Elephas maximus indicus: one gene and its partners. The protein of the gene in region 1 purifies or fractionates together with the protein of each later gene. This does not show direct contact. Links are inferred from orthologs where the notes say so. Each region holds a gene or a part of one and is shown in the gene's direction. Other genes may lie near its edges.

Region 1 (10,856 bases):
CCTCCTCTCACTCTTTTCGTGTCCATTTCGCCAGCTCCTAACTCCCTCTACCCTCTTATCTCCCCTCCAGGCAAGAGATGCCAACATCATCTCAAGTGTCCACCTGGTCCAAGAAGCTCACTCCTCACCAGCATCCCTCTCCAACCTACTGTCCAGTTCAATCCCTGTCTGAAGAGTTGGCTTTGGGAATGGTTCCTGTCCTGGGCCAACAGACGGTCTGGGGGGCCATGACCACTGGGGTCCTTCTAGTCTCAGTCAGACTATTAAGTCTGGTCTTTTTAAAAGAATTTGGGGTTTGCATCCCACTGTTCTCCTGTTCCCTCAGGGGTTCTCTGTTGTGTTCCCTGTCAGGGCAGTCATTGGTTATAGCATCTAGTTCTTCTGGTTTCAGGCTGATGTAGTCTCTGGTTTACGTGGCCCTTTCTGTCTCTTGGGCTTGTAATTACCTTGTGTCCTTGGTGTTCTTCATTTTCCTTTGATCCAGGTGGGTAGAGACCAATTGATGCATCTTGGATGGCCACTTGCTAGTGTTTAAGATCCCAGATGCCACTCGCCAAAGTGGGATGCAGAATATTTTCTTAATAGATTTTATTATGCCAATTGACTTAGATATCCCCTGAAACCATGGTCCCCAAACCCCTGCTCCTGCTACTCTGGCTTTCGAAGCATTCAGTTCATTCAGGAAACTTATTTGCTTTTGGTTTAGTCCAGTTGTGCTGACCTCACCTGTATTGTGTGTTGTCTTTCCCATCACCTAAAGTAGTTCTTATCTACCATCTAATTAGTGAATACTCCTCTCCCACCTTCCCTCCTTCCCCCCTCTCATAACCTTCAAAGAATATTTTCTTCTCTGTTTAAACTGTTTCTCGAGTTCTTGTAATAGTGGTCTTATATAATATTTGTCCTTTTGCAACTGACTAATTTCACTCAGCAGAATGCCTTCCGGATTCCTCCATGTTATGAAATGTGTAGAAGCTATTTTAAATGTTTTCTGAAGCCAGGCAAGTGTGGAGTTGTGGGTAAACCAACAAACATTCAGGTAATTAGCGTTTTATCCCAACGGTTTCTGTTTCTTCCCCTGCCAAAGTCACGAGTAATAGCCAATGAAAAGGAGGTAGGCCTGTTTTCTAATTTAGAGACATAAAGTTGCTTTCCTTTCTGCCTCCTATCCAGTCACTCTTGAGTTCAGGGGATAATGATAAGATCAATAGGGCATGGCTATTACTAAATCAGTTCACCAGTTTTAATTCAGGATTCCAACTGCATACTCCATTTGCAAATCTGTGCTTATGAACAATAGTCCTTTGGTGGCAAGAGAGACACAACAAAAGTGAGGGAAGTCACATTTGGAATAGCAACCCAGGTTTCCTAAAATGGAATCCTCTCAGCTAACACCGTGGGACCTTAGCTAGCTGTGCACTGTAAGCCTGCTTCAGTTGTCTGAAATGTGCCAGGAAGTCATTGGGACTAAGCTGCCTTCACAGAAAGAGAGAAACCACCTTCCAAGTTACCTGTCAGAGACACTTGAGGAGAAAAAGATGGGTGAGTGGAGGAGGTCAGGGTAGGCAGCTGAGAAGAACAGACATTACAGAAGACCTAGACCAATGGCAGATACTCACCTTAGCCCTCAAAGTCCTAGGATCTCCCCCTCCAACTCCCTTTTGAAAATACTGTGAAAGGCCTACCCATTTCTATGAATGTTACAGTGGCTACAGCTGAATGGCAGCTGTGCTGAATTTATAGCTGGTTTTCTCCAAATGTGAGATTTCTCAAGGGCAATGTAGCTGGGTTGGCCTTGCCCCAATGAAGTGTGTTTCCCTGTTGCAAGTGCAGACATATTTTAAACCTGACTATCATACACTTTACTAAAACAGGTAGAATCATATTCATAACCTCAATGGAATTACTGCCTCTCAGAAATCCAAAGTACTGAAATTACATCTAGGTAGCTTGCTTACTGTTTGGACACGGACAATCGTCCCTGTCAGATTCATTAGCTCTGTCACAAGAGCTTTGCTTATTTTTAGCATCCCCGTCCAAAAGCCTGAGTGAGCTCTATCAATCTGTTTCATGTGTGGACTAGTGGGTGTGTTTTCCGGTCAGGGGTGGGGCAGACTGTTGGTGTGATTTAAAATTGAGTGTTGTGGACCCTCAGGAGCTGTGTGTTTTCAAACCTGTTTCCCTCAATTACATCTGTCTCATTTTGCCTTGGTAAATAAAACACGGAGCTTTTGGACTGATTATTTTTGAGTCTATCTGCATCCTTTGTGGAACTGGGAAGTAAATCGTCGGCTTATACACAAGGTGGCACCCTGTGATCCCAACCAGGTCTGAGGAGTGATGCTTTTAAGAGACTGAGCCACAGCTACACATTTTTATTTACCATCTGGTATTTTTTTTTTATTCCCACTCTGGTGAATATAGAAGTGGACGTAGATGTCTGGCATGTCACTTGAATACAGTCTTGCTCCCTAAGTCCCAAAGATTCAGGCCCGCCTCAGTAAAGGGCACTGGAAGCAGCAAAGTGACTCTGGTTAATTGTAATGAAAGCAAACCAACCCCACATTCAGGTTACATATGGAAAGCAGCAAAGCTTTACGGGTACTGGGCTCATTCCTGGGAACATAAGGGGGAGGAGTAGGGAAAGCAGCTCACATACCAACCCAATTAACTTTCAACTGAGTTTGCCGAAATAGGGAGCCAGTTAAAAGGAACGTGACATTTACAAAACTCTGAAATAGTTGAAAAGCAACTGTGTTTACTAGTTTTAAGGCTCCTTTCAAAAAGTAATTTGTCCATTATTTGGAAGCTGCCTGCCCTGATTGTAGTACAGGAAATGGAAACTGGAAATGTAAGTTCAATTCTTATGGTTACTTGATATTAATTCTAATTTAGACTACATTTAGATACTGGCTTTATTTTCGATATCGCTTTAAAACTGGTTCTAATTCTCGGTGTTTATATATATTACACTTGCTGGGCTAAGTGCATTTCATTTGGAATTGGTCCAGAGGATATCTGAAGTGGACCAATTTTAGAATGACTATACTCACTGCCTTACAATGAAATTAAAATAGGCTATTAGGCTGCACAGCCATTCAAAACATGTTTTGATAAAGACATTTCATAAGAGGATCTACTTCAAAAGTTGAAAAGATATTTTGTGTTTGGCACTAACAATTAAATGGGTGTTCAAGAACTAGATTACAAATAAACGTTACTTTATGAGAAATAATATTTATATCCAAATAAAAGCTACTTTCCAAATGTGAAACATAGGCACATTCTACTTTGAGCACTGAATTGGAAGGCAAGAAAACACAGGCTGTGTCTCACTTGAAAAGTGTATTGTGTTATTTGCCTCAAACTGTTTTATTCCCAGCTCTATAATCACTGCCTACAGGGCAAGGAGAAAATGGAGATTTGGGGAAGAAATCGATTCTAAAGTAAAAGAACAAAACAACGACAAAAACAAGAACTACTACAGCAAAAACCCATTCTTGTAATTAAATTTTAGGTTTCAAAAAGTTTGTTTGAATTGTTTTAACTGGTTCTAAAATTCCTAAACCCAAAGGCAGGAAGCTGGAGAGCAGTGTAGGCCACAACAAGAGCAACTATTGGCAATGATGGCTAGTTCAGGTGACAGGCCAGGAAGGTATCCGAACCCTAAAATGGAGTGGAATAGGGTCAGTATAAATGAATTTCCTGGTGGAACATCTGTCAACAAATATATATACTAGGTGCCTGCTATGTATTGTGAGGCACAGAACTGGAAATATAGTGCTTAACAGAGCAGCCATTGCTCCTGCCCTCCTTGGAGGTATTACATCTTTAGGCTCTGGAACCTGATAGAAGAGTTTCAGTAGTTCACCTTGGATCAGCAACTTTGGAATGTTGAATGGTCAATAAGAAGAGAGGAACTTGGGTAGCAGCGTAGCATTGCTGACAAAGTATGTGTTTTGGAGTCAGGCTAGACCTGGATTTGAACCTAGTTATTAACTACCACTTATTTGTGTAGACAAATTATCTATCTGAGCCTTAGTTTCCTTAGTGGTAAAATGATAACATTTCTTTGCAGGGTTATAATGAGAATTAAGTGGAATTTAATTAATTGAGATAATATATATGACGTACCGTTATAATATATATAAAGTCCCTGGGTGACCAAAGCGGTGCTCAGCTACTAACTGAGAGGTTGGCAGTTCAAATCCACCTAGAGGTGCTTCAAAAGAAAGGCCTGGTGATTTACTTTTGAAAGATCACAGTCATTGAAAACCCCATAATGCACAGTTCTACTCTAAAACACATGGACACATTCATGTAAAAACACCAGACTTACTGGTCTGACAAAGACTGGAGGAACCCCCAAAACTACGGCCCCCAGACACTCTGCTAACTCAGAACTGAAACCATTCACGAAGCCCACTTTTCAGACAAAGATTAGACAGGCAACACACACGAGGAACGTGCTTCTTAGTTCAATCAAATGTATGAGACCAAATGCAGGACGAGAAGGCAGGGAGGGACAGGAACTGGATGAATGGACACCGAGAACCTGTGGTAGAAAGGGGGAGTGTGCTGTCAAATTGTGGGAATTGCAATAATATTACAAAACAGTATGTGCACACATTTTTGAATGAGAAGTTAACTTGAGCTGTAAATTTTTACCTAAAGCACAATATAAATAAATAAATAAAAACATACAGTGTCTCCATAAGTTGGCACCAACTTGATGGCAACTGGTTTTTTTTTTTTTTGGTTTACCATTATAAAGTCTGGTATATCACAGGTACTCAAAACTTCCTTTCCTGAGAGTAACAATGAATATAGGGAATAGAAAAAAGCTATCCTTTTTGAACCTGAGAAGTGCTAGGAATACAGATGACTCACTTATTTCCTTTACTAAATTGCTTTCTTTTTTTCTCTTTCTGCCTCCCAACAACTTCTTATTCTTCCTTGCAGAGGACTGAAACTCCTTCAGAGGGTAGCACTCAGAGCGGGACATGCCCATGAGCTTGAGGAAGGTATTGCTTACAAGAAGAAATGAGTCACAGCATCTCCATTGTTTCCAACAACAAAGTGATGGAAAACACTCAAGCTCCACTAAACAACGCTTGGAGTCTTGCTGGGCCAAACTGGTTAAATTGTTTAGAAGCTACTATGAAATCCTTATCCACCATTCTGCCTTCAAAAGAAGGGGAAAAAGAGGGAGAAAGAGGGAGAAAAAGAGGGAAAGAAGTGGGGGTAGGAAGAAGGAGATAATGGATGGAAAACTAAAAAAACGAACCCCTTGCGGTCCAGTCAATTCCGACTCATAGCAACGCTATACGACAGGGTAGAACTGCCCCATATGGCTTCCAAGGAGCGCCTGATGAATTTAAACTGCCAACCTTTCGGTTAGCAGCCATAGCTCTTAACCGCTATACCACCAGGGTTTCCATAATGGATGGAGAGATACCATTTCGATGTCACGTACAAATGACTATGAATCAATTTTTTCCCTGCTAGACTTCAGCAAACCCTTCTCTCAGCTAGGGAGTTTACCAATTATTAAGAATTGATAAAATCTGTGCACTCATCCTAGGGATATTGTGAGAAACCTGTAACGCTTTAACTAAGAAACTCTTGGCTATGCGAAGTTGATGTCAGCAATATCAATTACTTGATTTCCCCTCCTTTTTTTTTTTTTTTTAGGGCTTTCTCTGACCAGCTCAGGTTAAAGTAATGTCTCCTTTCTCTGAACTTTCATGGCATTTATTACCTGTACAACTCATTTGATAATGAATCATGTGCCTTGTGTCATCTCCTGTAAAGTTTTCTTCAAGTACTTTTATCTTTTGCTGTCATTTATTTTTTCCAGCTGTTCATCTATTTACATCTCTCACTGTTATCACCTTTCCGACTTCTTCTGTCATTCCATTAATGTGAAAGCTGCAGGAGGGCAGAGACTTTATCTCTAACTTCTTTGCATCTTCCACAGCACCCAATATCTTGCACATCTATCTGCCTCTTTGGAAATGTGTGCGGTCTTGGTCAAATTTTGTAATTTTAATTTCTAAAAACTTATTTTTTTTTTGAAATCTGAGAAATACCTGCCATCTTCCAAATAACTCTACAGAAGTTTGAGGGACAGGTTCCAGTACACTTGTTGCATCCAGCAGCCTCAAACCATTAACCCCTTCTGCTCCCATTAGCGTCCTCCCAGCGAAGGCGAAGATGAGCGACGGTGCCTTATCTGGGAGCGCTCTACCGGTCAGGTACTGACGAAAGGACGCGGGGAAGTGGGCTGGGGCGAGCGCGCGCTTCGGGGTGGGTGAGACCCCGCAGGTCGGCTCGCCTGTGGCAGGGCAGACGGAATGGACCGTTTGCACCTTCCCGGGATGTGCGATTTGGAAGATGCGTTAGCCTGCCCTAGGCGCGCCTTGGAGACGGGCGCTTTATAAATACATGCTCGGGTAATCGGCATCTTCCTTTCCCGCTCACAGACTTCAGCCCGTACGCGCTGTTAGGCGCCGCGGCGTTTTGACCGGCGCCTTCCTCCCGGGCACCCAAGGAGCGGGATGCTGCGGCCGCGGAGGCAGAGGCGCAGGTTCTGGGGCACGGGTTAACTTGCGCACCTGGCACCTGCCACGCCGCAACAGCAGCGGCCGGCCAGCGGAGGGGCGCCGTCGCCCACTCTCCTCCCGGCGGCCGGAGGCTGAGCACGCTCCCGCGGGCCGGCAGCGCCGCGGAGAGAATGGGTGGGTAGGCAAGGGAGGGGAAGGGAGAGGAAGGAGGGAGGGAGAGGGCGAGGCGCGTCCCCGCGGCGGGGGCGCGCTCTCGCGCGGGCTGCCGGGATCGCTCGCCGCCGCTGTGGTAATGTCCGCCATGTTGGCCATGGCGCAGGGAGCGGATCGGGCGGGCGAGCGGCGGATCTAGTGTGTGGAAGCGGCCGCGGGCGGCGGGGGGCTGTTTTCGGGTGGGGTGGGCGCCCATGCTGTGGCCGGGGCCAGTGAGGAGGAGGAGGAGGAGCGGGCCGGCCGCGCTGCACTGAGGAAGGAGGTGGAGGAGGCGGCGGGAGTCCTCCCCCCCTCCCCGCCCGCCCCGACGCCGCCGCCCGGGCTGTTCCTGTAAGGCGGGGAGACAATGAGTAAACTCTCCTTCCGAGCGCGGGCGCTGGACGCCGCCAAACCGCTGCCTATCTACCGCGGCAAGGACATGCCTGATCTCAACGACTGCGTCTCCATCAACCGGGCCGTGCCCCAGATGCCCACCGGGATGGAGAAGGAGGAGGAATCGGTAGGGACTCGAGTGTTTATTACCCCCCCTTCCCTCCTCCCCCCTCCCCTTTGTCAGTCGGGCCTCGCCATTCACAGAGCGCTTTACGCTCGCTGGAGGGCGCCGCTGCCGCTCCAATGGATGGGACCTTACGCCGGCGGAGTAGCGTAAACCCTCTCGGCCGGCGCAGCGCCCGCCCGCGGCCGCCATGTTGTTGCGTCCCAGTGTTGTGATTAGCTCGCAGCGCTGCTTACGCTGCCGTAAGGGGGCCTTGCCGTAAGCGGCGGCCGGGAATGGCGCAGGGGATGCTTTAGCCGCACTTGGCGTACGGTCTCTGTTTACCTTTTTTTTCCACCCCGGTGCCGGGTTGATTAATGAGCGCGGGATCTTTCGGCTAGGAAAGACTTTTTTTTCTACCGACTTTTAAATTTGCTTTTGCATTGGGTTCTCTTTGAAATGACTTATGAAAAGTAAAGTGCTTTAAAAAACAAACATCGTTTTTCTCCTAGCAAGGTAATGTTCGCTCGTCGCTCCCTCGTCCGGGATGTTGCAGCGGGGTGAGTGGTGCAGCACTGCGGCGGGGGAGGGCGGGGGCCGCGACTACCACGGTGTAGGTAGCGTTAGGGAGACGCGAAGGGCTCGCACCCCGGCCCCGCGCGGGACGGCTCTGCCGGCCTCGCTAGGACGGCGCCCGCTCGGCGCGTAGCGTTAGGAATGAACGACGGATGTTTGGGAAGAGCAGTCGGCGTGCGCGGTGCCCACGCTCTGTCCCTGAGAATTGTCAGTAGTGGATGGTGGTCATTTAGAAGTTGAAGACCTCGTGCATATGAATTGGCCGTTGTTTATTTGATGTTACAATGCCTTTTAGCAGAAATGATGCTTCCCCCCCTCCCATGGTAGTGGCTTGAATTTTACATACAGTTAAATTTCGTCTGACTTGACAGTGTTTGTGACTCTCTAGTGGTGTTCCTTGCATGCGAAGTTAATAGTAACTGCACCCTCAAGAATTTCTTCAATGAACCTACGGTCCCGCCTTATTGTCAACCCCGGGCGTGTGTGGATTGGTTCTCTTGCTTCTGTGACTGTCAAAAAACGGCACGAGGTTTCTGTGATTGGTTTTCTCTTTTGTCTATTAATATTGAAGGAAATGCTTTTATGCTTTTCATTGGCTACTCAGGTTCTGATCTCATTATATTACCCCGTTATTACTATTTTCAACTGTGATTTAATCACATTTTTCTTTGGTGTTTGATTTTTTGAAAGACAACCTTTTCAGTGGGAAATGAATATAGCCGTAATAGCGGGATGAGCGCTCAACGTTTTTAAAATAAATAAAATGAAAATCCAGCATATATGCCTGAAGTTTAATGTTGAATGACATTTTGATTTTTTTTAAAGAAAATTTGTTCCCAGCTTCGCTCAGTTTTCCGTTGAAAGGATAATTAAAATAGAATAATTATAGTGTGTGTACATAATGGGTTGAATTTTCTTTAATAACGCTTAAAAACACAGCTTTGGGTTTCCACAAAGTTAAATTTCTGTTAGTGTTATTTTATGGGTTTTGATCCAAAAAAAAGGTAGCTTAGGAATCTAAGTATCAATTAGGTGTGTAATTACTTGGATTTTATTATTTTGGTTTGGTAAGAGTCAAGAAACCTGTCCAGAATGAAGAGTTAAACTCTGGAAGGTATGTATGATGTGTACAATGATCAGCAAAATTTGGTCCTTAGTTGTCTTGGTATTTTATCTGAATTTAGGAAGAAAATTTGCAGTTTTTTTCATGTTGTGTTGAAAATAAGTGCTTAACTCCTGTCACAGCACGGTACTATTAACCTTTTCAGTAAAACTTGTGATTTTCAATCTAGAACATGAGTGCCAAAGTTGGATTCTTTTCAGTCTCCTGCCTCAACTCCCCAGTTTTAAGAAAGAAGAAATCCAAATTCCGATAGAACCATAGTTGAAACCCAGGGCTTCTAACCTTTTTCTCTGTCTTTTCTGCCTCTTTAAAGTGACAAGTGGAGGTCCTTAAAATCAAAACAAACCCTGACAGTTGAGATTTATAGTTGAAAGTCTTGCTTCCCAGAGTGTCCAATTGGGATATTTTTTCCCATCTCTTCTTTTTTTCTTAAATTAACATGTAAGAAGACTTGCGCTTTTTTGAGTGGCATTCCGTTTAGTTCTTCTGGTCTTGTTTACAGGACTTTAAGCAGCACTATTTGTTTAAAAACAAAAAACAAAACAAAAAAAGTTCTGCCTTGATATAAATTTCACAGATGTTTTGTTTTGTGTTTCACTTGAGTTGTGTTTCAACCCAACTTCCAGAATCTACATGTTGTAATTAGTTACCTTCATAAGCATTTTTTAAAATCATGTAGAATTGGGGGGTGGGGGAGGGCTTATGAATGTACTAATTTTTGCTTGGCATTTTAAAAAATGTCCACAAAGTGACCCCTTCTCTCTTTGGCTTGGCAAAATCCTTTGATTAATATTAGCGTTCATGGATGTTCATCCTCCTTTACATCCCACCCCCAACAATAAAATTAAGGACTCTCTCCTTTGTGCGTAGCTTCTGGACTATCGTTAGACTTTATAAAGTCCTTGACTCGGTTTGGAATTACATTCAGACAGTGCCTGATTGAGGTAATCTAGGTGTTCCTTGACATTGGTGGCACTCTTATCATTGCTGAGAATATTGTTCCTTTGATCCTTTTCTTTTGGCAAGCAGGCATCTTTTACTTCTTTTCTTCCCTGTCCTTATTTTCATCATCTTTTGTCTGACATTTGCCAGTTGGGATCTTCCTATAGCTTGGTCTTTGTAGTCTAGGTCATGGCACTTGGCCTCAGTCAGATACTATAAACTTTTATTTATTTGGAATCTAAACAACCAGATTTTGATCAGCCATTTTGCCACCTCCCTGTAAGTGTTGATGTTTTAAATTAAAAAAAAAAAAAAAAAAAAATTTTTTTTTTTTTTGAAAAAGCTACCATTTATTGAATACTTTCTATGTCCTTGTTACTGTTTTAAGGGCTTCATGTGTATTATCTCATTCAGTCCTTTGAGGTATAAGTTACATACAATAAAATGTATTCATTTTAAGCATATGTTTTGATGAGTTTGGACAGATGTATGCACCCATGGGAACCTCACGACCGTCAAGATACAGAACTTTTCCAACACCCCAGCAAGTTCCTTTGTGTTCCTTTGTAGTCAGTCCCCCTCCACCCTAGTTCAAGCAACCTCTGATTTTCTTTCTTTATAGATTAGTTTTACCTTTTCAAAAATTTCATATACATGGAATTATACTATTTTGTGTCTGGCATCTTTTGCTCATGATGATGCATTTGAGAGTCATCTGTGTTGTGTGTGTGTCGATCCATTCGTTTTACTGCTAAGTAGTATTTCATTGAACTGATGCACTATATTCATCCATTTATTTTTTGTTGGATATTTGGATTGTTTCCAGTTTTTATTATTTAATCCTTGTCACAGCCGTATGAGGTATTTTGATTCCTATTTTATAGATGAAGAAACTGAAGGGCCTCACAGCTAGCAAGTGGCAGAGCTGGCATTCAAGTCCTTGCTTTTAATGTCACAAAAT
Region 2 (10,129 bases), on another chromosome or scaffold:
TCAATCCATCTCATCGAGGATCTTCCTCTTTTTTCCTGACCCTCTACCAAGCATGATGTCTTTTTCCAGGGACTGATTCCTCCTGATAACATACCCAAAGTCCGCAAGATGCAGTCTCACCATCTTTGCTTCTAAGGAGTACTCTGGCTATATTTCTTCCAAGACACATTTGTTCGTTCTTCTGACAGTTCATGGCGTATTCACCAACATCATAATTCAAAGGCATCAATTCTTCTTCCATCTTCCTTATTTATTGTCCAGCATTCTCATGCACATGAGGTGACTGAAATACCATGGCTTGGGTCAGGCGCACCTTAGTCCTCAAAGTGACATTTTTGCTTTTTAACACTAAAAAGGTCTGGTGGTGTAGCAGTTAACCAAAAGGTCAGCAGTTCGAATCCACCAGGCACTCCTTTGAAACTCTATAGGGCAATTCTACTCTGTCCTATGTGTTGGAAGCGACTCGATGGCAATGGTTTTTTTTTTTTTTTTTTTTTTTTGCAGAATTGCCCAATGCAATGCATTTTTTATTTCTTGACTATTGATTCCATGGGCATTGATTGTAGATCCAAGTAAAATGAAATCCTAAACATCTTCAATATTTTCTTTGTTTATTATGGTATTACCATTTATGATCCCTACATGTCTGTCAGTCTGTCGTATTGTGGGGGCTTGCATCTTGCTGTGATGTTGGAAGCTATGCCTCCGGTATTCAAATACCAGCAGCGTTACCCATGGTGGACAGGTTTCAGCTGAGCTTCCAGACTAAGACAGACTAGGATGAAGGACCCAGTGGTCTACTTCTGAAAAGATTTAGTCAATGAAAACCTTACGAATAGCAGCGGAACATTGTTTGACATAGTGCCAGAAGATGAGCCCTGCAGGTGGGAAGGCACTCAAACTACGTACGACTGGGAAAGAGCTGCCTCCTCGAAATAGAGTCGACTTTAATGATATGGACAGAGCCAGCTTTCCGGACTTTTCTGTGCTGATATGGCACGAGTCAAAATGAGAAGAAACAGCTGCAAACATCCATTAATAATCGGAACCTGGAATGTACAAAGTATGTCTCTAGAAAAATTGGAAACTGTCAAAAATGAAATGCAATGCATAAAGACCAATATCCTAGGCATTAGTGAGCTGAAATGGACTGGTATTGGCCATTTTGAATCGGACGATCATATGGACTATTATGCTGGGAATAACAACTTTTTCAGATGAATGGCGTCAGTCACATTCACTGTCAAAAGGAACATTTCAAAATCTATCCCAGAGTACAACACTGTCAGTGATAGAATAATATCCCTATGCCTACAAGGAAGACCAGTTTATATGACTATTATTCAAATTTATGCACCAACCACTAAGGCTGAAGATGAAGAAATTGGAGATTTTTACCAACTTCTGCAGTCTAAAATTGATGGAACATACACTCAGGATGCACTGATAATTACTGGTGATTGGAATTTAGAAACAAAGAAGAAAGATCAGAAGTTGGAAAATGTGGCCTTGGTGATAGAAACGATGCTGGTGATTGAGTGACAGAATTTTGCCAAGACCAATGACTTCTTCATTGCAAACTCTTTTTTTTGCCAACATAAACAGTGACTATACACATGGACCTTGCCAGGCGGAATACACAGGAATCAAATCAACTACATCTGTGGAAAGAGATGATGAAAAAGCTCAATATCACCAGTCAGAACAAGGCTGGGGGCCAATGCGGGAACAGACCATCAACTGCTCACAAGCAAGTTCAAGTTGAAACTGAAGAAAATTAGAACAAGTCTGCAAGAGCTAAAGTATGACCTTGAATATATCCCACCTGAATTTAGAGACGATCTCAAGATTAGATTTGATGCCTTGAACACTAATGACTGAAGATGAGACGAGTTCTGGAATGACATCAAAGACACCTCAACATAAAGAAGACAAAAATCTTCACAACTGGACCAATAAGTAGGAAACCCTGGTGGCACAGTGGTTAAGTGCTATGGCTGCTAACCAGAAGGTCAGCAATTCAAATCCACGAGGCGCTTCTTGGAGACCCTAGGGGCAGTTCTACACTGTCCTATAGTGTCGTTATGAGTCAGAATTGACTCTATGGCAATGGGTTTTTTTGGGTGGGTTTTTGGGACCAATAAGCGATGTCATGATAAATGGATAAAAGACTGAAGTTGTCAAGGATTTTATTTTACTTGGATCCACAATCAACACCCATGAAAGCGGCAGTCAGGAAATCAAAAGATGCATTGCATCGGGCAAATCTGCTGCAAAAGACCTCTTTAAAGTGTTGAAAAGCAAAGATGTCACTTTGAGGACTAACAAGCTATGGTGCTTTCAGTCGCTTCACATGCATGGGAAAGCTGGAGATGAATAAGGAAGACCAAAGAAGAACTGATGCCTTTGATTTATAGTGTTGGCAAAGAATATTGAATATACTGTGAACTGCCAAAAGAAGGAATAAATCTATCTTGCAAGAAGTACAGCCAGAATGCTCCTTAGAAACAAGGATGGTAAGGATATGTCACTCACATACTTTGGGCATGTTATCAAGAGGGATCAGTCCCTGGAGAAGGGCACCATGCTTGGTAGAGGGTCAGCAAAAAAGCAGAAGACCCTCAACAAGATGGACTGACACAGTGGCTGCAACAACGGGCTCACGCATAACAATGATTGTGAGGATGGCACAGGACTGGACAGTGTTTCGTTGTTGCACTTAGGGTTGCTATGAATCAGAACTGACTCGAAAGCATGTAACAACAACAATTGAATCATTACACTAAGTGCTTTGCATAGATAATATCATTACGATCATATAGTACTATGATTTAGCTATTTTTACTATTTCCATTTTGTAGACCAGGAAATGACACAGAGAATTAAAATAACTTTGGCCAAGATCACACAACAGTGTTAGAGTAGGGAAGTGAACCCATGCAATTTAAGTGTAGATCCTGCACTGAAACACTGCAACCATCCTGCCTCCTGTTTCCCAAATAAATTTTTAAAAAAGGTCAACCGTAAAGGTGGGGTGAGGGAAGACAGATACTTGAGTCACGCTAGTATAAAAAGCAGTTCATAATGTATAATCAGCTGAGTGATTAATAGCTAGAATTCTACTTTTTTTTTTTTTGTATTATGACAATGTAGACTTGTAAATCAGGCTCTTTTGGCAAAAAAAAATCCAACTCTAGGCAGAGAAAGGAATAAAAGGCAAGGAAAAAAGTAAAGCAGCTCTGGGGGTCTCAGCAACAGCAGCTTGTGGACCATATATCTATTGAGCTGCAATTAATGTAATTTTGTCAACATTCCTTCAGTCTCAGTGTCTCTACATTCCAATTTCAAATCCCAGGAGAGTGCATCCAGTAGGCCCACATTAATCAGAAAACTCTTCTATATATGTGTGTCCAGGTTTTCCTCTCCATTACAATCACCTCCATAATGGGATATGCTGTGAGTAACCAATCAGTTGAAAGGCAGTTTCCTTGGGCACACACCCTGCATCAAATATAAGTGGATATTCTGGCAAGGCCTGTGAGCTTTTGCTCGCACCCTGGATCCTATTTGTCTGGCCTCTGGTTCTTGGGATTTGAGTTAGCAGCTTACTGCTATCTTGCTCGCCAATCTTGGGATTTGTTGGGCAGCCTGTGAGCCAGAGCCCTGCCATCTAACCAGCAGATTTTGGGCTCGCCAGCCCCTTCAGCTACATGAGTCAGGAGAAGCCTCCAGCCTGACCCACATTTCCAGCCTCTACAACTGTGTGAATCTTTTCCTTAATATAAATCTCTCCATATATATATGTATATGCTTTACTGGTTTTGCTTCTCTAGAGAACCCAGCCTAAGACATTTGGAACCGGGGGTAGTTCCAGAGAAACAAAACGCTAAGGGTGAGTTTTCTAAATTGGTTTTCAAATCTGGTTAGTCTTAAAGATGTTGATGGCTCTGCTTTCAGTAGTAAAGATGACACAGCTAATCCTTGAAAGAAAGCCTTATTTCTTATAGTAACAGCTGATATCGCCAAAAATACTATGTAGAGGATGGGATTTTCCAGCCTCTATAACCATGTGAGCCATTTCCTTGATATAAATCTCTCTATACGGGGCAGTTCTACTCTGTCCTATAGGGTCGCTATGAGTCGGAATCCACTCGACAGCAATGGGTTTTTTTTTTTTTTTAATAAGGTTAAGCGTTTGGCTGCTAACCAAAAGGTTGGCAGTTCGAATACACCAGCCGCTCCTTGGAAGCCATATGGGGCAGTTCTACTCTGTCCTATAGAGTCCTCTGAGTCAGAATCAACTCAACGGCAACAGTTTCGTTGTTGTTGTTGTTTGTTTTATATATACATATATATATATAATGCTTTACTGGCTTTGCTTCTCTAGCGAAGCCAGCCTAAGACAGTGAGAAAGTCTGTATATGTTCTAGGAGAGAAGAGAGAAAATGGGGAATAAGCAACATTGAAGAAAATAATGGCTTAAAATTTTCTATAATTGTTGGAGGACATTAATCCTGACATTCAGGAATCCCTTTAAATCCCAAGCATAGTTAAAATAAAACCCAAAAACAACAAAAAAGAAGAAATCCAGACCTAGATTTAATCACTGTGAAACCACAAAACAATCAAGACAAAAAAGTTCCGAAAGAAAGAGAGAGAAAAAGAAAGACTTAAGGTACCAGATTTTAGATACAAGTAGAGAAGATAAAAGTAGGTAATAATTCTTATTAGGATTGGGGTAAAGTTCCTTTGAGATTCATCAGTATGACAGGAAGTCTCCTGATTAAGTGCGGTAGAAAATTCTTGAATACAAGAGTATGTAATGGAGGGGACAAGCTGGACACACACATAAACAAGAGTTTCCACACCAAGCAGAATAATACAGATTAGAACATTAGATTATAAACTAAACACAATTTTTCCTAAAAAATGAAGAGATTTAAATAAAGAAGTGAGGAAAATAATAACTAACATTTACTGAGTACTATGTGGTCGCTATGAGGCAGAATCGACTCTACAGCAATGGGTTGGGTTTGGTTTTTGGTAGAGTTAAGAAAAAAGAAACTGAGCAGTGAAGAACTAAACACATCACTTACGAACTTTTGGGGGAAGGAGTCCAAAGTTGGTAAAAGACAATATCCACGACTCTAGATGTCTATTATAATCCAAAGTTTTTACTAACACAGCTCATTGGACATAAAAGCTCCAAGAACTATTTTTCTTTTGCAGGTGTTGAGTATAGGAGCCCTGGTTGCTCAACGGTCAAGATCTTGGCTATTAACCAAAAGGTCGGCAGTTCAAATCCACCAGCCTCTCCTTGGAAACCCTATGGGGCAGCTCTACTCTATCCCATAGGGTAGCAATGAGATCCGAATCCACCGGAGGGCGACGTGTTTGTTTTTCGGTTGTGTGTATAGATCAACTACAATAGAAAGACGTCGGAAAGAACTGAAAAATAGGACATATGATTATAAGAGGCTACCAGCCTTGGAAACCCTATGGGGGAGTTCTACTCTGTTCTTACAGGGTTGCTATGAATTGGAATCAATTGCAACCGGTTTGGGTTTTGGTAGCGGGGATTAGCTGTCACCTTTTCATCTGGGAATGCACATTCCACTCTAACTTCTCAGTGTAAATTACATTAAAATTACATAGACGCCAACCAGGTGTCCCATTTATATTTTTAGGAGTGAATACTGAGGGCAGATTCCAGCAGAGTTTTGTTCTTCACGTTCCAAATTACCCGAACTTTACTGATTATTCCACCGTTAGAACCTTCGCGATTTGCCGGGCACTGAAATCCATGAGTCACAAACACCGGGTCATAAAATCATAGCAGTAAAGAACAGGTGAAAAGTTGTTCCTAGTTGTGTTGTGCAGGAGCATACAACTCCCGTCATTCCCTGTCAAAAATCAACAAATAAACAGAGGCACCGCATTTCGGATTCAGCGGCGCACTGTTCGCAATGGCGCCTAGTTTTTGTAGTTTCCACGTGGAAAGCTGCCCGCCCATCAAGGCTCGTTCCGGAGGGAGGAAGACTACACTTCCCACAAAGGCGCAAGAGCTGACACCGACCGGCTTACGTCATTGCCCCAGTCAGCCAATGGCAGCACCGGGCGGCAGTGAGGCGAGCGCCGTCAGGCGCCAAAGTGTTTCTTTTCTTTTTTTTTTTTTTTTCCGGAGCCGAGCGGGTGCTGCTAGCGGAGGCGCCATATTGAAAGGGACAAAACTCCGGCGACAGCGAGTGACACAAATAAACCCCTGGACGCCCTCGTTACCCCAGTTCTAAGGGCCGCGATGTTGTACCTAGAAGACTATCTGGAGAGTGAGTGCGCGGCGCTGACGTGGGCCGCCGGTGTGAGCCGCGGGCGGGCGAGAGTGCGAGTGGCCGGGCAGGCGGGATGGCGGGAGGGAGGGGGCGGCGGGGGATGTTTCTTTCTCACGGTAACTGGCAGGCTCGTTGTGGGCTGCCGGCTCCCTGGCCCCCCCGACGCACGCAGACGCGCAGTGACGTAGGCGCGTATTTTCGCCGTTGGCCCCGCCCCTCTGACGGACTCTCTCCTTGACAGTGATTGAGCAGCTTCCCATGGACTTGCGGGACCGCTTCACGGAGATGCGCGAGATGGACTTGCAGGTGCAGAGTAAGTCGCCCGGTTTGCTCTTGTTCGCTTTGCGCATCCAGCGCTAGACTTGCCGGCTCTTTGACTCTTCTGGCGCGCTCGCTAGTGCGTAAGGAGTTGTCAAAGAGAACGGGCATTGCCGAATCTTGTCTCTTCTCTCCCGCGCTGCTTTTCTCGTGGCGTTCACAAGAGGAGACATTGGGGCAAGTGTATTTTTTTCTCGAATTTGGGTCTGTGCAAAAAAAAAAAAGTATACATTTATTTATTTGGCATATAATGGAATATAATGGAATTTACATCAGCATAAATGTTGAGAAGGTTTTGACTTGAGCTAATACGTTACCGAATTTAAATTTCAACACTTCTTTCAAAGCTCCTCTCCTTAAAATTTTCAAGAGCAGAAAACTTCTAGAAGCATGGCTTGTATGTAGGTTTTCAGAAACCCTGGTGAACTTGGAATACCACATTTTGGAAAGTTACACATTGTAGCGTACGTTCTCAGTTGTCAGCCACACAGTGTTTCCTCAATCAAAATGAGTGAGGGTAATTAGATTTTATTGTAAAGCTACCTGTCGCATGTAATAACATTTTTGTCAGCGAGCTTTTCTTCTTTTCGTGATAGCTTGGTTGTCGGGTGACTTTACCGAAATTACTTTGCCGTTTCAACTAGAGAGTTGGCAAATGGCCTTCAGGGTGTTCTGGAATACACTGGAATTATATCCTATGTATATATATATATTTTTTTTTTTTTTGATTTCTTTTTTTCTGGCAAGTTCTGAAAAGGGCCCATTATTCAGAGAATGCAAAGAATCACTGTCTTTGGAGATAAGAAAGCAAATACTTAGGCAGAATTACATTAACTAAAAAAAAAAATATATATACATTACAAAGTAAGAAAACAGTGCTGTATACCATATTTATGTCTACCATGCTGGGACAGAACCTGACAAACCTTCCCTATTTGTGAAATGAGTATGATGAGAGTTGTTTCAAGTGTCTTGTAGGGATACTTTGTTAAAAATTAAGAATGGGAAAAGAATAATATGATACATAATTAAAATGTATAATTGAAAGTCCCTTGTTGGATGTGTCACTCCCTTTGTTTGTAGGTACTCCTTAATTGTGTAATTAGCATTAATAGCTAGCCTTCATGGAGTATGGCCCCAGAAGATATGTGTTTTGATTCCATGCATCCCAGCTATGTGTGGTCTGTATATAAAATGTTTGTCATGCTGGCAGGTTTTCTTAGAAAAGTAGGCATGGATGTTGATGTGGGTTTTGAATTCTGATGGAGAGGAAAGGAGTATTATGGAAAGAGATCAGCTCAACAAGCTTCCCAGACTGTGGAAGCCTTGGAGTAGCTAAGACCCTGTCCTTTTCATTTCCCCTTGCTTCTCTGCACCCCTCCCCCCCCCAGCCAATACATCTGTACCCATTGTTAATGAATGTACTTTCTCAACCTCTTACCAGTTTCATTAGGGGCATATTAGAAAGGTGATATGGTATGGAAGCCGCCACATCCTTCTACTGGGTATACTGTATGATGGAAGTCTGAATTGTACATGGGGCTCTCTATCCAGCTCACAAAACCCAATTTAACTTTATTATAGTTGAAATGCTAAAGATTTTTTAAAGTATTGTTTTCTGCAGGATCAAGCACAGACTTTTATGTCAGGTAGGTCTGAGTTCATTTAGGGCTTTGCTACTAACTTACTGACTTTGATCACATTACCACTTCTGAGGAGTTTTCATCATCTTTAAAATGAGAATGATCTAAGGATTAAAATAATACAGATAAGTTACAAAGTATAGTACGTGGTGCAAAAAAAAGCAAAACCAAACCCATTGCCCTGGAGTCGATTTCGACTCATAGCAACCCTGTAGGACAGGGTAGAGCTGTGCCATAGAGTTTCCAAGGAGCACCTGGTGGATTTGAACTGCCGACCTTTTGGTTATCAGTTGTGGCACTTAACCATTATGCCACCAAGTTTTCCAAAAAAGAACATTTTATAAATTTTCATTATCATCACAAATTTAAAATTCTCTTATAATTTATACAAATTACAGGCTTTTTAACTTGTATTTTTTTTTTTTTTACAATGATTAGAGTTTTCTAACCTTAATAGATATTATGGGTTAAAAGAGGTCTCTGTGTTAAATAAGTTTATTTATTAAAAAAGGAAAATACTTTTTAAAAAATTACAGTAGGGACTCTCAGAATCTTTATGAAGCTGTTTTGTACTGCAAATTTCCAAAAGGAAGATAGAATAAAAAGGTTTTCCTCAGCTTACATGATGACAGAATCCCATTTATTTGTCCTTTTGTAAAAAGGAGCCCTGGGGGTGCAGTCCTTAAAGCACTCAGCTGCTAATTAAAGGGTCTGCAGTTTGAACCCACCAGCCACTCCCCAGGAGAAAGATGTGGCAGTCTGCTTCAGTAAAGATTTACAGCCTCGGAAACCGTGTGGGGCAGTTCTGCTCTGTCCTTATAGGGTTGCTATGAGCTGGAATCTACTCAGTGGCAGTGGGTTTTGGTTAACAGACATCAAGTGAGATGATTATTCCTGGCACAGGCACACACTTTGAGGAAAACTTATCTAGAATAACTAACAGTCTGTTAAGTGAATAAATGATTGTACCTGTTACATTCACTTGTGATAAGAGATAATGAGATACTTAAGGCCATATCACGAGATATTAAGATCTTTTTACCACCTTTTCTTATTAAAAGAGGTGTAAGGATTAAGTAGTGGTGCTTTCAATAAGTAATTGTGTTTTGAGACATTTAGCCTATTTAATTCTAATCACTTCTTTTTTTGGAGAAACAAAATTTTTCTGTGTGCTTTAAGTGAAAGTTCACAGCTCAAGTTAGCTTCTCATACAATAATTTATACACACATTGTTATGTGGCCCTAGTTGGTATCCCTGTAATACGTCATCATGCCTTTTTCTACCCTGAATTTCCTGTGTCCATTCAGCCAGCTCCTGTCCTTTCTGCCTTCTCATCTCGCCTCCAGACAGGAGCTGCCTATGTAGTCTTACGTATCTACTTGAATTAAGAAGCACACTCTTCATGAGTATCATTTTATGTTTTATAATCCATTCTAATCTTTGTCTGAAGAGTTGTCTTCAGGAAAGGTTTTAGTTCTGGGTTAACAGAGAATCTGGGGGCCATGTCTTCTGAGGCTCCTCCAGTCTCAGTCAGACCATTAAGTCTGGCCTTTTTACTAGAATTTGAGTTCTGCATCCTACTTTTCTGCTGCTCTGTCAGGGACTTTCTGTTGTGTTTCCTGTCAGGGTGGTAATTGGTGGTGGCTGGGCACCATCTAGTTCTTCTGGTCTCAGGTTGATGGAGTCTCTGGTTTATGTGGCCCTTTTTATCTCTTAGGCTAATATTTTCCTTGTGTCTTTGGTGTTCTTCATTCTGCTTTGCTCCAGGTGGGTTGGGACCAATTGATGCTTCTCACATGACTGCTCGCTAGCTGCATGCAGGCTGCCCACCTTGGGGC
Region 3 (10,050 bases), on another chromosome or scaffold:
CCCCGCCAAAAAAACTGACATTTAGCCATTTCCTCCAACACCAATACTTTTACTGTGTCTAAAGAGAAATTCGACTACCCAAGTTGTTATAACCAAAGACTGTGCAAACCAAAATAAACTATTGGTTATAAACTCTGTGTGCCATCGAGACATTCCAACTCATAGCGACTATACATGACAGAGCAGAAGTCCCTCAAGGGGATTCCTGAGCTATAAATCTTTATGGAAGCAAATTGCCAGGTCTTTTCTCCCATGGAGTCACTAGAAGGTTTGAACTGCCAATCTCTCAGTTAGCAGCTGAGTGTTTAACCACTGTACCACCAGGGCACCTTTGGTTATAAATACCTCTTGGTAAATCACATTAAAAAGACACTTACTCTTCTTTAAGTCTCTTTTGAAGCTTGTCCTTTGAAAGTTTACTTTCACTAGCATTCTTCATCATATCTTTCCGGAACCGATTGTTCATCATGTCAACCCTGTAAGAGATCAAAACAGCATGCTTGTACAGAAAATCCCTGATGCAGCAGGAGAAAAGCAGGACGCAGACCTCAAATTCTAGTAAAATGACCAGACTTAATGGTCTGAGACTCGAGGGACCCCAGAGGTCAGGGCCCCCAGACTCTCTGGTAGGCCAAAACTAAAATCATTCCCTAAGTCAACTCTTCAGACAAAAATCAGACTGGTCTATAACACATAAAATGACACTGGTAAGGTGTGTGCTTCTTAGCTCAAGTAGACACATAAGACTATGTGAACAGCTGCTGTCTAGAGGCAAGATGAGAAGGCAGAGGGGGACAGAAGCTGGTTGAATGGACACGGAAAATAAAGGGTGGAAAGAAGGAGTGTGCTGTCACATTGTAGAGAGAGCAACCAGGGTCACATAACAATGTGTGTATAAAATTTTGTATGAGAAACTGACTTGAATTATAAACTTTCACTAAGAGCACAATTTTAAAAAAAGGGGAGAAAAAACAAGCTTTAAATGACTTTTACAGAGTCAACACAAATACCTGTTGCCTTTAGTATTTTGAGAGAACGTCTAATTGAACAATACATGTCAAGATTCGTAAGATGTGAAACATTTCATACACACATATGTGCGTCATTTTCCCCAAAACAAAGTCTCCAGTATTTTAAATCATCGAGTTTACCCTTGAGAGAGCTAATACTTCAAATTCATAACAGCTTATCTAGTCACAGCTTACACCATTCACTAAAATAAATCCTGGGTAAATCAAAGAATTAAACGTATAAAAGCCAAATTCAACATAGTATAAAGGGAAAAAGGCAAACGTTTGTCTTCTTCTAACAGATTTTACTGTTAAAAACAATGAAGAAAAAGATTCACAGATTTTATAATTTAAAACTATATATATTTTGTACTCTTAAAAAAATTACAAACAAAACTTAAAAGCCAACAGAAAGCTGGGAGAAAAATCTTCAATAAATCTAACGTATAAAGATTTGGAAGTCTCAGTACGTAAAGAGTTGATACATTAAAATCGTTAATAAACAGTCTCCCAGAGATGAGGAAAAACATAATTCTTACGAGAAAAAATACCAAGAACAAAAGCATTTTCTCAACACAGATAAAGTAAAGGTATTATTTCTCACCCATCAAACTAACCAAATCTGAAGAAAGATAAATCACTGATTCTGAGAAGACAGTGACGGACTCTTTTCAGTGAGAAGGTTAACTACCTCATGGTATACAGTCTAGCAGTATTCATCAAGAGCCTTAAAAATGTTTTTTCATCAAGTAATTGATCAAACATTCTGTACTTAAGGATTCCCACCTCAAAGAATCTTTAAGGAAATAATAAAGTAGGCAAAAATTTACGTGCAAAGATGTTTTTGTCAACATTAAAGAGCTATAAAAATTACAGTTAATTCATATAACTGACTACACTGTAACCATTGAAAACACTCATAAAAGTTTCTTTTAAAACAAGGGAAGAGATGCTTGATATGGGGAGAAATGCCTGCAATGTATCATCTAGTACAAAAAAAATCAAAAAATATACTGCAGTTTCTCAACTAATAAAACACATACTGTGCATGCTAGCTAATATTTTTCTGAGCCTTTCCTCAGTTTAGGCACTATGCTAAGGGTTCTACGTACGCTGTTTCATTTAATCCTAATAGCTTTCTGATATTGTTACTATTATTACCCCTGTTTTACAAACAGGGAAAGCTAAGTTCCAAACTTGCCCCAGGCCACATAGTTCGGATCTGGCCAAAGAAGGAGGCAAACTCAGGTCTGACCCAAACACTGTGCCCTCAACTACTCTGTACAGCATAGAAAAGAGAAGGAAAGAAGTATGCCAACATGTGGTTCTCTCTTGGTCGTGACTTTTTTTCTTATTCTTCCTGTATTTTTCAAATTGATACCTTAACTCCCATAACTATATTTTATTTGTATTTATAATGCCTATATTTTTCAGATCTTCACATGATTACGTATTCATAAAAAGAATTTAAAAACCTGCAAAATAACTTTTCCAGTGTCCAGACAAATTCTGGAAAAGACATGCAACTTACATTTCCTCATCTTCATCTTCTTCATCCACCCAAACTGGCTTCTTTTGAGGGAGAAATTTATCTTTTGCTTCATTCTCCACTTCTGAGTCACCAGAGTCCTCATGTACTTGAATCTAGAGAAAACAAAACGCTCTGAAGCACTGAGCTTTTCATATCCCATGACGGTAAAGACACACACCTTGTAGTTATATGGCTTGCAAAATGTTTTGTGTTTGCAGCCGTCTGATGAAGATAACGGAATGGAGTGTTACCACTACAAGTGCTAGAGGCAGAAGCAGAAAACGAGGAGGCCAGAAAATGGCACCACAGCCTGGACAGGGCGAGCGAGGCAAGATGAATAGTTAAGGAGAGAAAGTCAAGGCACTGAAAGGAACAGATCAAGACAAGAACAATGAAAGGTTATGTTGGCAGATGAAGAGCAGGAAAAATTCCAGTACCAAAATTACAGGACTAGAGAAAGACTAGCAGTAAAGACAAAATAACGTAATTAAATGTTACAATTAATCCCCATTTCATATTTTTAGAAATACCTCTTTTCCCTTTCTCTTAACCCTTTTCAGCCCTACCTCTTTAAGAAACTTTATACTACCAAACCTAAATCTAGATCACAGAACACCCCCTGAAACAAGCTTGAGCTTTCCCCAAATCGCACGATAATTTATGACTGGCCTATGATCCTTCAAAGCCCAACAAATCCCACCTCCTACGTGAAGTCTTAACTCCACGTAGACTGTTCTTTCTCCTCACTATAGAACTGACACACTGTTGAGCATTTTTCCAGCGTTAGTGCTCTACCTTCCAAGTAGATTTCAGCAGCTTCTCCCACAGCACCAAAGGGGGTTTTGAGCGTACTTAACACCTGCAGGATCAGCATTCATTTAACAAACGTCTACTGAGTAGTTTCTCAGGGAGGCTTTCCTTGGCCACTCTATAGAAAATTTCAGTGTCCTGCACAACACTTACCCCCTTCCTTGAATGCTTTATTTTTTTAATCTCTTTGGTCACCAACATACTTAAATTTTACCCATGTTTTTATCTCCTTTATCTCGTTTCTACCAATAGTACATAAGCTACAAGAAAACAAGGATTCTTGACAGTGTTAAACATTACTACGTCTCCTCCAGCACCTAGAACAATGGCTGAGCATAAAAGCCAAATACAGAATAAAAAGAATGACTTCTTTGAGCGTAAAAAATTAAAATCAATCACCCAGCCTGCCACTGCTAAAGAGTACCTAGACCCAACAGGATCACAAATACTTCCTGAATAAACGAATACACTGTACTTCTCAAAAGTTGGTGCGAGAAATAATCACCTAGAGAGGTTGCTAAAATAGATCCCCAGGAACGTGGCCACGAATTCTAGTTCCACAAACACAGTGGAACTCCGCAATCCATATTAACAAGCTCGGCAGGCGACTCAGGGAGGTGACCCACCCAGTTGGATAAAACACTGAGTTTTGGCAGAGTTAAGCAGAGCCGCGAAAGATGCTCCCGACCACGACATTCGTGTCCAGCGCCTTCCACCGGGGCGGAGAAAGGCGCGGTCTCCGCCCTCCCGGGACTTTCAGTTCGGAGCCAGGCAGGACTCGAGGTCCGCACGGAGGCGCCCCTCGGCGCCCGCCTTCTCGGCGCCCTCCCACCTGAACGCTCCCGCCGCCGCAGGTCGCCCAGGCTCCGCCCCCGGAGCCTCACCGCCCTCCGCGCGCCCCGCCCGAGCGCGCCCAGCCCGCGCGCCGCGGCCTCCCTCACCCGCGGGCCCCGAAGACGCCGCAGCAGCGTGTCCTCGTCGTCCTCGACGTCGCCGAAGACCAGCTCCTCTAGGCACCGCTCCACGGCCGGTTTGTCGTCCTCCAACGCCAGACGGTTCTGCTGCCGGAGCCGCCTCTCCTCCTCCACAGCGACTGCTATTGTAGCGGTCGCCGCGCTCGGCCGGGCCGGTGGTTTCCGCTGGAATGAAGGGGCAGCCTTTGGGGCCGGTCCGTCCGGCCTCGCTGCGGTTCTCCGGTTCGGCTTCCTTGGAGTCTTCCGGTCTGGCTTCCCTCTGGTACGCCGGTCCGGTTTCATTCGGTTCCTTCGCTCCGGCGGCATCGTTGGGTTTCAGAAGAAACGCAGGCGCTCACGTGGAACCTCACTACGCATGCGCCGGGACGCCTTGCTTTCCTTTGCCACAGAGGCCCGGGGGAGGCCGAAAGGAGCCTGCGCAGCCTCTTAGCACGTGACCCAACACTACCTCCCTACGTAACGCCCACTCCCCTCGTGTGCCCCTCCCCCTGTGGGAGTTCCTCCGGGAGGGCCAATCTTCCGGGTGTAGGGGGAAGCGGCGTGACAGGAGTGGAAAATTTTTCCAACACAACGTTGCAGCTGCAGCACCTTGAAAGGAGTACTAGAAAGCCAGAGTATGAACTGGGATGACTGAATGAAACTTTTACTCTTGCTCTTGACTTGAAGCACCTGGCTTAACCAAAGCTCCGATTTCTTTTTCCACCCCTTCGTCTTGGTACGGCCCTTAGCGTACGGCGCCTGCAGAGGGTCCCACGCTGGAAGAGAGAAAGGAGGGTATGTAGGGAAGTGGGCCAATCGGGGCGCGGGTCACGGCGCAGGCGCGCTGCGGAGGGAGGGCTATGCTAATGTTGTTGATATCCTGGGGCCACCCGAGTTAAAGGGGGGAAATCCGGGGGCTGCCGCAGCTGCCACCGGTCTGGGCCCAGCTGGGGGCCCCTGTGGTCACTGCAGTCCCGGGTAGAGGCGCCTGCCCCCAGCGCGGGGAGGGGGCGCCGCGGGCCTGGGGAGCACGGACAACCCCTACCCATGAGGCCCTGATGGAAAACACAAAGGATCTGGTGAGAGCCGAGCGCGGCGGCCGCTTTGTGTGCAAGGTGGGGGGGACGCCTGCAGCTCTCTGACCTCAGCTCCCAGGCCTGTTTCTCCATCCCACGCCCCCTCAACCCCCGGAGTTCCCCCTCCCCCTACTGGCCGTTAAACGATTCAAGGGCTCCCCTCCCCCCCTTCTCCTCCGCCCGGCCTCGCTGGGATTCTCTCTACCCCCTCCACTCTTTGGGAGGAAATTTGGAGAAAGTTTTTCTCTTTTTCCCCCTTTCCCCCTGTTCTGACGTGGGGGGTTGGCGGGATGGGGGACTTTTCCCTTTCTTAGCTGCCCGAGGTGGGAGAGTGGAGCCCTCATTCCCCTCGGAGGAGGCACAGTTTTAGTCCCCTGAGGGGGGAGGCGCCTATCTGCTTTGGGGTCAGTGCCGCGAGGCCTTTCGCACGTGGAGGTGGAAATATTGAAAGGGGGCGGGGTGGGCACGTGTGGGAGGGAGAGGTGGGAGTGGTGTTTGGGAAACAGCCGCCTAGGCCCTCGGCTCGAAGGGCTTTAAGTCGGTGGGCTTCTGTGACCATTGAATTCTGTTTTGTGAAATGAGAATCCTAACGTTTCAGAGTCGGAAGAGACGTTAGAGGTCACCCCAAGCAGCCGTCCCCTCTGCAGCCTCTCTGACAAGTGGTAGGTAGTCTGACCTCTGCTTAAACCCTGGGAACACCGAGCGGTCGCAACTGCCCAGGAAAGCCCGTTTCGTTTTCCAGTAGTTCTTGTTTGTGTTGCTTGCCCTTATTAGACCCTTCAGTCTCATTCAGTGTCCTTGTTAAGTTGCTCCTTTTTTTACTTCTCAAATTTTTTCTCACATCCTCCTCACCCACCCACCGCTCATTGGCCTATATATTTTGTGTGCCAGGAAAGAACAGCAGGGAAGTAGGGGAAGGAAGGTTTGAGAGATAAGTGAGGGCCAGCCAAAAACTTCGCTGGGTCACTTTCAGGTGTCCTGGCTTACATGTCTGAAGATGATTGCTGTTTTTCTACAAAAAGCTAGAGAATTGGGCCTTTTGGGGATTTCACAGCTGTTTTCTCTGGCTAGTGCATCTTTTTAAAGTTAGAAATTTCAGCATTATCTCCGTAGTTCTCCTGTCTCAAAGCACATTTGTGTGTTGCCTAAATCCTTTTCCCTAAGGAAGCCTAAAATCGCCTATGGGGGGTAGTGGGTAGTGCTGAAGTTGTTACAAGCATCTCTTGGTAGAGGGATGTTAAGAAGTGCGCCTTCTCTACCCCGACCCTTAACCTATGTGTTTCTTGCAAGCTGGCCTTCCTTCCAAGGCCCCTTCCTCTGTAGTTCATTCTTTTTTTTTTTTTTTCTTAGACTGCCCTGTTTTTCATGAGATCTGGAATTGATGCAGCACTTTAATATTTGTTTAGCGTTTGCAATATTTTAAACATTCCATACAGTAGTATGACCATACGGTAGTATGACTGGTATTTATCACTTGATAGTTGCGGTAATTCGGTTTCCCGGTAGTTTGATTTAAGCTGTTGTCACTTGCAATTTTCTAATGTTTACTTTCACTTGATGAGCTATGCTGCCTCCAAAAGTAGTTTTATTGGCAAAAGGATCTTGGGGCAAATGTTTTCTCTTCCTAATATGGTAAAGTGGGAGTTAGGGCATAACAGATGTAGTATAGAAGTAACGTAGCAAGTCTAAAACCTAGAGAATAAATTTTTGCTTCAGTTTAAGCTCTCCTGTCCCTGTTTAAAATGTGAGAGCACAGATATTTTCCCACCCCCCTTTCGTGACTTAAAAGAGACTGTTGCTTCTCTCTTGTGTGCTTAGACTGTGTTTTTGTTCTTGCTTACCTCAATACCAAAGAGTGTTTAGAAAGAAAATAGCTTTTTTTTTTTGCACAACCTCCTTTCTCTGAATAACAAGTCACTTGTATTTGTACAGAACCCCATACTCAAGGCTTTTGGGCACCTCCCAAAATATGAGGAAAATTTTTGAGTAAGTGTTCTTAAGTATTATGTTAGACTGTTTCCTTTAACTGCCCAGTGTTTTATTTTATGGACACTTTGAAATACAATTTTTTCTCTAAATATAATTATTAGGATTTAACATGGAATTGAATACTGGATAGTGGGGGGGGGACTGTATGGTTGGGTCTTTAAAGTTTTAATTACTATGGAGTTGCACATTGTTTTCCTTTAGACATGAACTGTCATGACTTAAGTTGTCTGACTTTGGAGATATTTGCATTCTGAACATACTAGACAGGAACAACTGGTTTTATTTTTAAAGACGACGCTGGTAAAATTCTGTCATGACTGAGTATATATTGGCCTGATTAGTTTTTGAACCTTCCTAGAGGTTTAGGTGCTTTTAGTTCCTTAGATACATTGGAAATTAAAACAAAACTATTTTATATTGTTTAAAAACATTGTAAGGATCAAGAAAAGAAAAACTTTCAGAAATAAAAATGTTGTTAATGTTATAATACTGAACCACTGAAACACTAAAAGCCAAGAGTGTTCAATGGCCTGAATGACCACATTTGTAGGCAAGTTACTATTCTTGGGGTTGCTCTTTGTTTCTCAATTTAAAATGTTTGCTAGTACTATAAAACTTAATCTTTTCACTTATAATTTCAAGTCAGGCCAGTCAGTATATATCATTGGTTTCAGGGTTTCACATCTAAAAGGGAGATGAAACATCAGCCCAGTAGAAGAGGAAGGACGTAAAATAAATACAACAAGCTATGTCTAACACCAGGGCATTCTTAGCTGTCTAAGACTACTGTGATTTTATATAAAGAGTGCAGATTGGCTTTAAAAATCTAATCATAATTCTTGAATAAGCTGTTTGCGAGAATTTTTTTCTTCACAAATTTGGACTTTCTCTTACTTTGTGGGAAGGGAAAGGGAGAGAAGGAAACTTATTTAAATAAACCCTGAATTTGAGGTGGGACATGACAAGTAAGAGGGACACTGGCAGACTGGGGGAGAGTTGCAGTTCTGCTGCAGACTAGCTCCATGGCACTTGTTAGACAAGATCCTGTACCTCAGTTTCCTTATGTTCACAGTCGAAGGGTTGGTCTAGAATCGGCATTGCCCAATAGAACTTTCTGTACCGATGGTGCTGTCCAGCATGGTACTAGCCACCTGTGGTTGTTGGACAATTAAAACGTAGCTAGTACTGTTTAGAATAGCAAAAACGTGGAAGCAACCAAGGTGCCCATCAACGGATGAATGGATAAATTATGGTATATTCATACAATGGAATACTACACATCAATAAAGAACAGTAAGGAATCTGAAACATTTCATAACATGGAGGAACCTGGAAGGTATTATGCTGAGTGAAATTAGTCAGTTGCAAAAAGATAAATATTGTATAAGACCACTATTTTAAAAACTCGAGAAATAAGAAGAAAACATTCTTTTGTGGTTACGAGAGAGGGGAGGAAGGGAGGGTGGGAGAGGGGTATTCACTAATTAGATAGTACATAAGAACTACTTTAGGTTAAGGGAAAGACGGCACACAGTACAGGGAAGGTCAGCACAATTGGACTAAATGAAAAGCAAAGAAGTTTCCTGAATAAACTGAATGCTTCGAAGGCCAATGTAGCAGGGGCAGGGGTTGGGGGACCATGGTTTCAGGGGATATCTAAATCAGTTGACATAATAAAATCTGTTAAGAAAACATTCTGCATCCCACTTTGAAGAGTGGCGTCTGGGGTCCTAAACGCTAGCAAGCAGCCATCTAAGATGCATCAGTTGGTCTCAACCCACCTGAATCAAAGGAGGATGAAGAACACCAAGGACACAAGGTGATTACGAGCCCAAGAGACAGAAAGAGCCACATGAACCAGAGACTACATCATCTTGAGACCAGAAGAACTAGATGGTGCCCGGCTACAACTGATGACTGCCCTGACAGGGAACACAACAGAGAACCCCTGAGGGAGCAGGAGAGCAGTGGGATGCAGACCCCAAATTCTCCTAAGACCAGACTTAATGGTCTGACTGAGACTGGAAGGACCCCAGAGGTCATGGCCCCCAGACCTTCTGTTGCCTCAGGACAGGAACCATTCCCGAAGCCAACTCTTCAGACGTGGATTGGACTGGACAATGGGTTGGAGAGGGATGCTGGTGAGGAGTGAGCTTCTTGGGTCAGGTGGACACTTGAGACTGTGTTGGCATCTCCTACTTGGAGGGGAGATGAGAGGGTAGAGGGTTAGAAGCTGGCGAAAAGGACACGAAAAGAGAGGGGAGGGAGAGTAATTGGGAGTGTGTAGCAAGGTGTATATGGGTTTTTGTGTGAGAGACTGACTTGATTTGTAAATTTTCCCTTAAAGCACAATAAAAAGTATTTTAAAAAAACAAAACAGAAAAAAATGTAGCTAGTGCTGCTGAGGAGCCCTGGTGGCACGCAGTGGTTCGGTTCAGATCTACCAGCGGCTCCTTGGAAACCCTGTGGGCCAGTTCCACTCTGTCCTGTAGGGTTGCCATGAGTTGGAATTGACTCAGCTCAATGGCAGTGGGTTTGTTTTTGTTTGTTTGTTTTTGTTTTCAGTGCAACTGAGGAACTGAATTTTTTATTTTATTGTTTTAATCAACTTAAGTAGCCACGTGTGGCTGGTAGCTGCCATATTGGATATTGCAGGTAAAGAACAGTATTTCCCAAACTTA

Evidence for each region.
Region 2: the proteins of EPC2 (region 1) and ING3 purify together in Homo sapiens (affinity purification with mass spectrometry; 3 studies listed by BioGRID and IntAct, with this or other methods). This does not show direct contact. The link is inferred for Elephas maximus indicus from reciprocal best matches to the Homo sapiens genes EPC2 and ING3.
Region 3: the proteins of EPC2 (region 1) and MBTD1 purify together in Homo sapiens (affinity purification with mass spectrometry; 3 studies listed by BioGRID and IntAct, with this or other methods). This does not show direct contact. The link is inferred for Elephas maximus indicus from reciprocal best matches to the Homo sapiens genes EPC2 and MBTD1.

Annotation. Positions count from the first base shown.
Region 1 is NC_064824.1:45,493,509-45,504,364, forward strand, and holds the start of EPC2 (enhancer of polycomb homolog 2), read left to right. Parts: upstream 1-6,830; 5' UTR 6,831-7,125; coding exon 7,126-7,278; intron 7,279-10,856. UniProt on the Homo sapiens protein: May play a role in transcription or DNA repair.
Region 2 is NC_064826.1:28,788,032-28,798,160, reverse strand, and holds the start of ING3 (inhibitor of growth protein 3), read left to right. Parts: upstream 1-6,128; 5' UTR 6,129-6,298; coding exon 6,299-6,326; intron 6,327-6,570; coding exon 6,571-6,642; intron 6,643-10,129. UniProt on the Homo sapiens protein: Component of the NuA4 histone acetyltransferase (HAT) complex which is involved in transcriptional activation of select genes principally by acetylation of nucleosomal histones H4 and H2A.
Region 3 is NC_064837.1:42,532,511-42,542,560, forward strand, and holds the start of MBTD1 (MBT domain-containing protein 1), read left to right. Parts: upstream 1-5,114; 5' UTR 5,115-5,362; coding exon 5,363-5,383; intron 5,384-5,978; exon of another isoform or gene 5,979-6,042; intron 6,043-10,050. Other genes in the region: UTP18 (U3 small nucleolar RNA-associated protein 18 homolog), read right to left, coding at 378-476, 2,542-2,654, 4,293-4,631. UniProt on the Homo sapiens protein: Chromatin reader component of the NuA4 histone acetyltransferase complex, a multiprotein complex involved in transcriptional activation of select genes principally by acetylation of nucleosomal histones H4 and H2A.